Canis lupus familiaris: one gene and its partner. The protein of the gene in region 1 purifies or fractionates together with the protein of each later gene. This does not show direct contact. Links are inferred from orthologs where the notes say so. Each region holds a gene or a part of one and is shown on either strand. Other genes may lie near its edges.

The links.
Region 2: the proteins of DNAJB1 (region 1) and PYCR3 purify together in Homo sapiens (affinity purification with mass spectrometry; 3 studies listed by BioGRID and IntAct, with this or other methods). This does not show direct contact. The link is inferred for Canis lupus familiaris from reciprocal best matches to the Homo sapiens genes DNAJB1 and PYCR3.

Annotation. Positions count from the first base shown.
Region 1 is NC_049241.1:48,526,355-48,530,611, forward strand, and holds the start of DNAJB1 (dnaJ homolog subfamily B member 1), read left to right. Parts: upstream 1-1,200; 5' UTR 1,201-1,292; coding exon 1,293-1,503; intron 1,504-2,699; coding exon 2,700-3,280; intron 3,281-3,588; coding exon 3,589-3,819; 3' UTR 3,820-4,257. UniProt on the Homo sapiens protein: Interacts with HSP70 and can stimulate its ATPase activity. Stimulates the association between HSC70 and HIP. Negatively regulates heat shock-induced HSF1 transcriptional activity during the attenuation and recovery phase period of the heat shock response.
Region 2 is NC_049234.1:38,005,734-38,010,215, reverse strand, and holds the start of PYCR3 (pyrroline-5-carboxylate reductase 3), read left to right. Parts: upstream 1-1,588; 5' UTR 1,589-1,618; coding exon 1,619-1,718; intron 1,719-3,506; coding exon 3,507-3,571; intron 3,572-4,159; coding exon 4,160-4,339; intron 4,340-4,482.

The DNA of each region.
Region 1 (4,257 bases):
CTTACAAGGCAGGTACAACTGCTACCCCCATTGTACAGATGAGGAAACTGAGGCCCCAGCTGGCTCAGTAACCAGCCCAAGGTCATGCAGCCAGGAAGTGCTAAAAGTGGGAATGAAATCTGCTGCTGGCTCCAGAGCCAGTGTCACACACCCTGACCTCCTAAGCAGTTCTCCTAGGAACCTTCCACCTCAGCCACCACAACTGCCTACCCCTTCTCAGGTGATACCCCATTCTGAGCCTCCCTTCCCCATCAGCCCTTTGACCACAAGCACCCCAGACTCTTGGAGCCAAAGGGGATCATATTGCCCACAAGTGAGGAAACAGAGGCCCTGAGAGGTATATGACACACCCGTGTCCCCCCAAATCATAAATGTAGTGGGGAGAAAAATAAAGCAGGTGCATTAAAAACAGGAATATTTATGAAGCGTCCACTGCGACTGGGTTCCAGATACTGGCAACTGCAGGCTGGGAGGGAGGTGGATTTAGCAAGAAAACCAAAGAACAAGATAATTTTGGATTTCAGTGGCAGGTGTTCTTAAGAGAATACTAAAGTGAAAGGCATGAGGAGCCTTTTTCCCTGGAGGGAAGATCTCACCAGGGCGGTGAGCTTTGGTCCTGGGGCCTCACCTTGCTTTGTAGGAACCCGTATGGTGAGGACAGGCACAGTCCTGGGGCTCCTAATTGTATTCTCCCCACAGCCAGGAAAAGAGGGTGGGTAGGTATTTTTATTCCCCTGTTACAGAAGTCGGGGTGGGGGTACCTAGGGCACCGCAAGGTTAGTCAGCTTGCTCAGAATCGCCCCGGGAGGGGGGTGCTCCGTGAGCAGTGGGCGAGCAGTTCTGTCACCTGGGGAAGGGCGGGGCAGCCTTGAGGGGCGGGGCCGCACGCAGCCCCGCCCCTTCCCGAGCCTCGTGTTGTAACCTGTTGACCCAGGCTCGTCGGCCTGGTCCGAGAGGGCAATGAAGGAAGGTCGCGATTGGCTCCCCGCGAAGTGGGCGGGGCCCCCGCAGCTCGGTGCGCGCGCCGCGGGGAGGCGTTGCCGAGGACGGAGCGGGAAGGGGCGTGGCCGCGCGCGGGCGGCCGTTGGCGGCGCGGCCCCGCCCCGGACGTCGCGCGTCGCGGACTGGGCGGCGGCGATTGGTCGGAGCGGTGCGGGGGGCGGGGCGGAAGGTTCTGGAGGGGGCTGGCGGGCTCTGGAAGCTTCCGCCGGACGGGTATATAGGGTCCGGGACGGGGCGGCGGCGAAGCCGGGGTACGGCGACAGCTGGGCGGCGGGCCGCAGGCGGGGGCTATGGGCAAGGACTATTACCAGACGCTGGGCCTAGCCCGCGGCGCGTCGGACGAGGAAATCAAGCGGGCTTACCGCCGCCAGGCGCTACGCTACCACCCGGACAAGAACAAGGAGCCCGGCGCCGAGGAGAAGTTCAAGGAGATCGCCGAGGCCTACGACGTGCTCAGCGACCCGCGCAAGCGCGAGATCTTTGACCGCTACGGGGAAGAAGGTGCGTGCGCGCGCGGCCAGGGGCGCGCCCCGCCGTTTGACAGGAGGGGAAACCGAGGCCCGGCGGCCGGGCTGTGGCAGCCCCGGGGGACGCCCCGGGCCCGGTGGGCGAGCGGCCCCCGCCCTCCGGCCACGCGGGCCTCCGCCCTCGGATTGGCGGCCGTCCGATGGGAGGAGGAGTCCTGGCCGCGCTGCTTGCCCAGAAGCTTCTAGCACGTCTGCGGTCGCCCCTCCCTAGGCTCCTCCACCCACGTCCCCGAGCAGTGCTGGGGGTGCAGTGCGGACGGAGGGGGCCACTGAGGCTGAGCCGGCCCGTAGCACCGCGCCCTAGCGGGCCGGGGCGCACCTGGGCGGAGGTGGCAGGCCGGGGCGTGCAGGGGGGCCGGGGGGGCCTCTGGCTGCGCGCCGGCACGACCTGCGAGTGGCGAGCCTGCGGGTGAGCGCGCCGATTAGCGCCGACCTCGCTCCGGGGCCCCTGTGAGGGCGGAGTGAGGTAATCCCCGTAAAGTGCTTACCTAACCTGGTGCCAGACACGTAGAAGGCAGCCAGCGCCCGAGCGCAGTCCAGGTGCAGGGAGCGGCGGGACCCGCCTCTGCCCGGCCTCCTCGGCGCAGGCCTCTCAGGCCAAGGGAAGGAAGCTGTCTTGTCCAGTTGCCCGTGGATGACTCAGACTGGTTTCTGGGCTGGGTCTTAAGAAATGAAGTGGCTTTTTATGTAAGGATGGTGGCAATTAGTGCCAGGGTGTGAGAATTTGAAAAGCTGCATTTATGGTTTGGCTTTCACTTGTGCTCCGCACACATCCTTAGCTCCCAAGTATTTCTAAGAGTAAACACTGAGCACAGATTCTGGAGGGGGTTTCTTTTTAATCTGATCTTTTAATGAATTTTTGGTAAGTTTTCATATCCTTGAGGGGAGGATAGGGCAGTCAAGAAGTGGCAGGAATTTGGTGGCCCCTGGAGAGGGCACTTGAGCCCTTTGCCACTGCCCTGGCACAGTGAAGTACCTGGAGGGGGGAGTCCCAACTCTGTTGCTGCAGTGGGGGGTTAAAACCTTAGGGTTTTTCCTTACTCTCTTCTGATAGGCTAATAAAATTCCTCCCCCTCCTCCCCATCATTTATGGTTCTCAAGCTTTTTTCTTTTAGTGAGAGAGAGAGGCTCACTGCCAACCATTTCATTTCTCCTGATTTTGCCTTTCAGGCCTAAAGGGTGGTGGCCCCAGTGGTGGCAGCAGCGGTGGTGCTAATGGTACCTCTTTCAGCTACACATTCCATGGAGACCCTCATGCCATGTTTGCTGAGTTCTTCGGTGGCCGAAATCCCTTTGACACCTTTTTTGGGCAGCGGAATGGGGAGGAAGGCATGGACATTGATGACCCATTCTCTAGCTTCCCCATGGGCATGGGTGGCTTCACCAACATGAACTTTGGCCGTTCCCGTCCCGCTCAAGAGCCCACCCGAAAGAAGCAAGATCCCCCCGTCACCCACGACCTTAGGGTCTCGCTTGAAGAGATCTATAGCGGCTGTACCAAGAAGATGAAAATCTCCCACAAGCGACTGAACCCCGATGGAAAGAGCATTCGCAACGAAGACAAGATCTTGACCATCGAAGTGAAGCGGGGGTGGAAAGAAGGGACCAAAATCACCTTCCCTAAGGAAGGCGACCAGACCTCCAACAACATTCCAGCTGATATTGTCTTTGTTTTAAAGGACAAGCCACACAATATCTTTAAGAGAGATGGCTCTGATGTCATTTACCCAGCCAGGATCAGCCTTCGGGAGGTAGGCTACTAATTAGTAGGGTACAGTATGGAGGGAGATGGTTGGTTTTTGAAGCTGTTGGGTATCTGCTTGACAGATCTTTCTGAGCACTTTGGAGCCAGGCTTGAAGGGTAAAATAAGAGCAAAAATAAGACTGACCAGGGTTCTGTTTTTCCAGAGATTAACATGCTAGCTAGTGACCTGGGTAGATCTGGGGCAGGGTCTTAGCTGCAGGGGCCTGATGGCACTTCCCCTCTATCAAACAGCTTCTGGGCAGGAATTGAGCATCCTAAGCTATTTTTCATCTAACGTTCTCTTTGCTCTTCAAGGCTCTGTGTGGCTGCACGGTGAATGTACCCACTCTGGACGGCAGGAGCATCCCCGTCGTGTTTAAAGATGTCATCAGGCCTGGCATGCGGCGAAAAGTTCCTGGAGAAGGCCTCCCCCTCCCCAAAACACCCGAGAAACGCGGGGACCTCATTATTGAGTTTGAAGTAATCTTCCCCGAAAGGATTCCCCAGACGTCAAGAACCGTACTTGAGCAGGTTCTTCCAATATAGAGCCACCTGTGTCTCCCAAGGACTAACCAGGGACCTTTCCAGAGCTCAAGGATTTCCGGACCGTTCCACCAGTTGTGGACCCGTGAGAGGGCGGGAGGGCCCAGGGAGGGCTTTCGTACTGCTGAATGTTTTCCAGAGAATATATTACAATCTTTCAAAGTCGTGCACTAGACTTAAGTGGTTTTTCGAGCGATAGGGCTGCAGGTGGTGGGGACAGCAGGAAAAGGCATTCCAGTCTGTGCCACTGGGTCCTGCAGCCCTCCCAGGATGGGCGCACACCCTCCCCCAGGCCCTGCCCATGGACCAGAGGCAGACCCACAGCTGGACTTGACGCGTCTGCAGTCCCTTTCCTTGTGGCCGATAGGTGGTGTCAATCTGCCGTCTCGGTTATCATACCCTGTACACTCCTCAGTTTCTGTTGTGAGATCAGTTCGTGTT
Region 2 (4,482 bases), on another chromosome or scaffold:
GAGAATATTCAGAGGGAGGCCCAGTGTGGCGGAGAGGCCCGGACACACCTGGCAGGACAGAAACTGGCCATGTGTCCTGCAGTGTGTGTTCATTGCAGGGGGCTGTGTCCCCAGCCAGAATGCAGGTCCCCCAAGTGCGGGCTCAGCTGCCTATAGTCTGCTGCTGTATGGCCTTTATCCCCTGCCCACAGCGGGCTGACCCACCACCAGGGTAGTGTTGAATGAATGAGATTTGATTGTTGAAGAGCTAAGAATGTGTCAAAGTAGAGTTTAGAATAACAAAATATTTTTTAAAAGATTTTATTTGTTCATGAGAGGCAGATAGAGAGAGGCAGAGACACAGGCAGAGGGAGAAACAGGCTCCCTGCAGGGAGCCGGATGCGGGACTCGATCCCAGGACCCTCGGGGTCACACCCTGGGCCAAAGGCAGACACTCAACTGCTGAGCCACCCAGGCGTCTCCAGAATAACAAAACATTTTCAGATGCAATCATAAAGAATACCCTGCAATGTTAGATCTTCAAGCCTCATTGTTCCCGTGTCAATTAAAAATTACAAGTACAGGCAGCCCCCGTGGCATAGCGGTTTAGCTCCGCCTGCAGCCCAGGGTGTGATCCAGGAGACTCGGGATTGAGTCCCAAGTCGGGCTCCGGGCATGGAGCCTGCTTCTCCCTCTGCCTGTGTCTCTGCCTCTCTCTCTGAATAAATAAAAAAAAAATCTTAAAAAAAGAAAATCACAAGTCCTCCCACCCCTACCCTACCCTCTGGTCAGTTTCAAACGGGCTCCTGCGCGGCCGAGCACTCCATCAGCGCCCCCACCCCAGCACCAACAAGGTCTCCGCTGGGGACCCAGGCCTCAGGAAGGCCCCTCCTGCCTTCTCGCAGGATCCAGGCTGGCTGAAGAACTTCGGGTGCAGAGAAGCGACAGGCCGGCTCACACGTTTCAGGGCCTGGAGCCGCTGCAGCTCGCCAGCCCGCCCGGCCCCGCGGCCCTCGCTCCGCAGCTGCCCCCGCCATCAGGCTCCAGGGCCCAGGGCGCCCCGAGGGCGCGGTTCCCGCCGGAGAACCCGGCCCAGGCCGGCGGGCTGCACTCACTCCCCAGCTCCCCAGGCGCCGGCCTTGCGTGCCCGGGTCTTTCACCGGAATCGGGGCGGATGCTCCTTCCCCGGGAGCTCAGCTGCGCAGCGGCCGGCCGCCGGGGCTTTCCGGGACTCCGCCGCGTCCCCGCGGGGACCCCACCGGGCGTGCTCCAGGGCGCGGACCGCCCGGACGCACAGGGCCCCCCACCCTTTCCGGCCCTTCGTTGAACGGAGCCTCTCAAGCTGCCCCTGGGAAAGCAGGGTCCGCCCGGCTCCACGCGGCCCGACCCCTCCACCGCCGCTCCCGCCCTCCGCCCGGGGCCGCGCCTTCCGCGGAGCGCCAGGCCACGCCCACTTCCTCGCGGCGCCCCGCCCCCAGCCTGCGGCACCGCGCCCGCTCGGACCAATAAGCGGCCGGGGTAGGGGCTCGCCGCGGAGCCCGGAAGGGAGTGGGCGGGGCGTGAGGTCCCGGCAGCCAATCGACGGGCGGGGGGGCGCTGCGGCGACATGGGCGGGGCCAGGTCAGGCCGCGGTGAAGACATGGCGGCGGCGGCGGCGCTTGGTCCGGGTCCGCTCCGCGTGGGCTTTGTGGGCGCGGGACGTATGGCCGAGGCCATCGCGCAGGGCTTCATCCGAGCAGGTGGGGCGCCGCGGGCGTGGGGCGCGTGGGTCCCCGGGCCTGGGAGCCAGCGGGCGTCCCACGCCGGCCGGGTGTACGCGGGAAGGGCTCACCTGTCCGGAGCTCACCTGCCGGGAGCTCACTTGCCCGGAGCTCACCTGCCGGGAGCTCACCTGCCCGGAGGTCACCTGCCCGGAGCTCACCTGCCCGGGGCTCACCTCCTAGAGCTCACCTGCGCGGAGCTCACCTGCTCGGAGCTCACCTGCCCGGAGCTCACGTCCCGGAGCGGAGGCTCTGGGCGGGGGTCACCAGGGAGCCCTCCGCGGGGAGTGGTAAGGGCGCAGCAGGACCACCTCTCCTTCGCTGGGCACGGCAGCAGGGTGCGCGTGGGGCGCCAGGGCTGCTTGTCCCGGTGAGCCGCGTGCCCACCGCCAGCGCTTGCGACGTGGGTGGTCCAAGCCTAGGGTGCTGCGAGTTTGTAGAATAAGATTTTGAGTTTGGAAGATTTACGAGAACGTAACATATTTTAGTAATTTTTAATGCTGATTAAAACTGATATTTGGAAGGATAGTATTTTGTTTACATGGGGTTAAATAAAATATATTACAATTAACTTTACCTTTTTTTTCTTACTTGCTTTTAACATGGCAACTAGAAAGTGTGAAGCTGGGTCTTTGGTCCCAGTAGTATTGTTCTTGGACGGTGCTACCTTTGCCCCCGGGGATCTCCCACCAACTTCTGGTTTCCTTCCGGCCTCGGGTGGTTTGACCTTCGAGACTCTGATTCTGTTTCCGATGTGATGTGTGCAGCAGCTGCACCCCTTGGCGGGCTGCAGGCGTGGTCCACCTCCTGATGGGCATGGGCGGGGGATGGTTCTTCATCCTTCACACCGTAGGGTGTTGAGCTACCTTCCTGGTCTGTCCCCCCTTGATGTTGGTAGCACCCCCCAGTTAGGACAGCCGGAACTGTCTCGAGGTTGCACACGTGCCCTGGGGCCTGGAGGCCAGGACCTCCCTGGGGGAGAACGGTTGGTTCACGGTGAGGCACGTCCTAGTCTTACTCCAGGGGATTTGGAAACCGTCATGTGTAGATTCTGGGCTGGCTTTCTGCCGTCCTCCACAGTCACGGTCCAGAAGGGTGAAAATCATCAGAAAATAGTTTATGGCAAGTCTCAGGTGCTTTAGGTGTACAACTCTGCAGTATCACCTTCCTCCCAGGGCTGTGCAGGTTCACCATACTCCGCGTAGGCACACCTGGAGGTGGTCGCTGTCACAACTCACTGGCTCGGTGTTCGGGTTGTGGGGCGCACTTCTGCCTTCCTGGTAGACCTTACAGAAGTGTAATCTCCCCAGCCCTGCACCCCACAAATGCAGATAATTTCTACCAAATGGGGATTTAGCCCCTGCTTGGACATCCCAACACAGACACACACCCCACTCCCAGGGAAGCTCAGCACCTACTGGGCCTCCCTCCCCACCCTGCCCCGGCTCTGTCCCCGCCTTCCTGTCCCCAGAGGCACAGGCCCCTGAGATGGAGTCCTCATGAGACTAGGCAAGCTCTGGGCCCCTGTGTCTAGCAGAGCCTCTGGACTCGGCAGCAGCAGAGAATGGAGCGGAGTGCCTGGTCCCGGCTGCACGCAGCACCCCTGCCAATCACTTGGGTTCTTACAGAGCGTCAGGCCAGCTGGGGCCAGGATGGCCTGGGCATGGCTGAGCAGAAGCCAGTAAGGGGCAGCCAGGCTGGTTCCTGCTCTTCTTTCCTTCCACTCCACATCCTCACCGACCCTTCTGCTTTTGCCTTTCTCTCCAGGAAAAGTAGAAGCTCAGCACATAGTGGCCAGTGCACCGAGTGACAGGAACCTCTGCCACTTCCAGGTGGGCTGGGCCTCAGCTCTTCTGCATTGAGGCTGTCCTGGGGGGTTCATGGAGGCTCTTGGCTCCTGAGACAGTTCTTGGGTCCAGGGAAGTGCTGCTTGTTAATTAATTAATTAATTAATATTATTATTATTATTTTAGTGCTGCTTGTTTAGGTAAACTTTTGAGACTGGCTGGGCTGGGGAAGAGGAGGTCAGGTCAAAGACCAGAAGGAAAGTCGAGGTTGTGGGGGATGCTAGGACAGAGTAAAGGGGGTATGTGTGCATGTGCAGAGTAAAGGGGGTATGTGTGCATGTGCATGTACATACACACACGTGTACCCATGCATTGGGTTGGGCAGAGACGGTTGTGGGCACTAACTGGGGTCAGAGGGCATGAGGAAGTGCTGACGTCAGGGGTCAGGGGTCCTGAGCCAGACGGATGGTCTGGGTGAGTCTTAGGCAGTGGGAGTGGGGGTGGTGCAGGCATTCGCAATGGGAGAGACCCACGGGGACCCCTGGGGCTGCAGGGTGGCCTCCCGCGGGAAGTGCCACAGTCTGGGAGGCCGTCCCACTTACCCCAGCCCTGATCCCACTGTCACCATTGCAGGCTCTGGGCTGCCAGACCACCCACTCCAACCAGGAGGTTCTGCAGAGCTGCTTGCTGGTCTTCTTTGCTACCAAGCCCTATGTCCTGCCAGCTGTCCTGGCAGAGGTGGCCTCTGTGGTAACCACTGAGCACATCTTGGTGTCTGTGGCTGCTGGAGTGTCTCTGAGCACCCTGGAGGAGGTGAGTGGCCTGTGGGGTTGTGTGGGAGCTGAGGCTCTGAGCCCAGAGTCCGTTCTGCTGGCCAGACTCTGTTTCCCACCCCTTGCCATCCCACACTGGTGCCCTTGAGGAAGGTGAGATGGGTGAAGCATGTGATGGCCTCC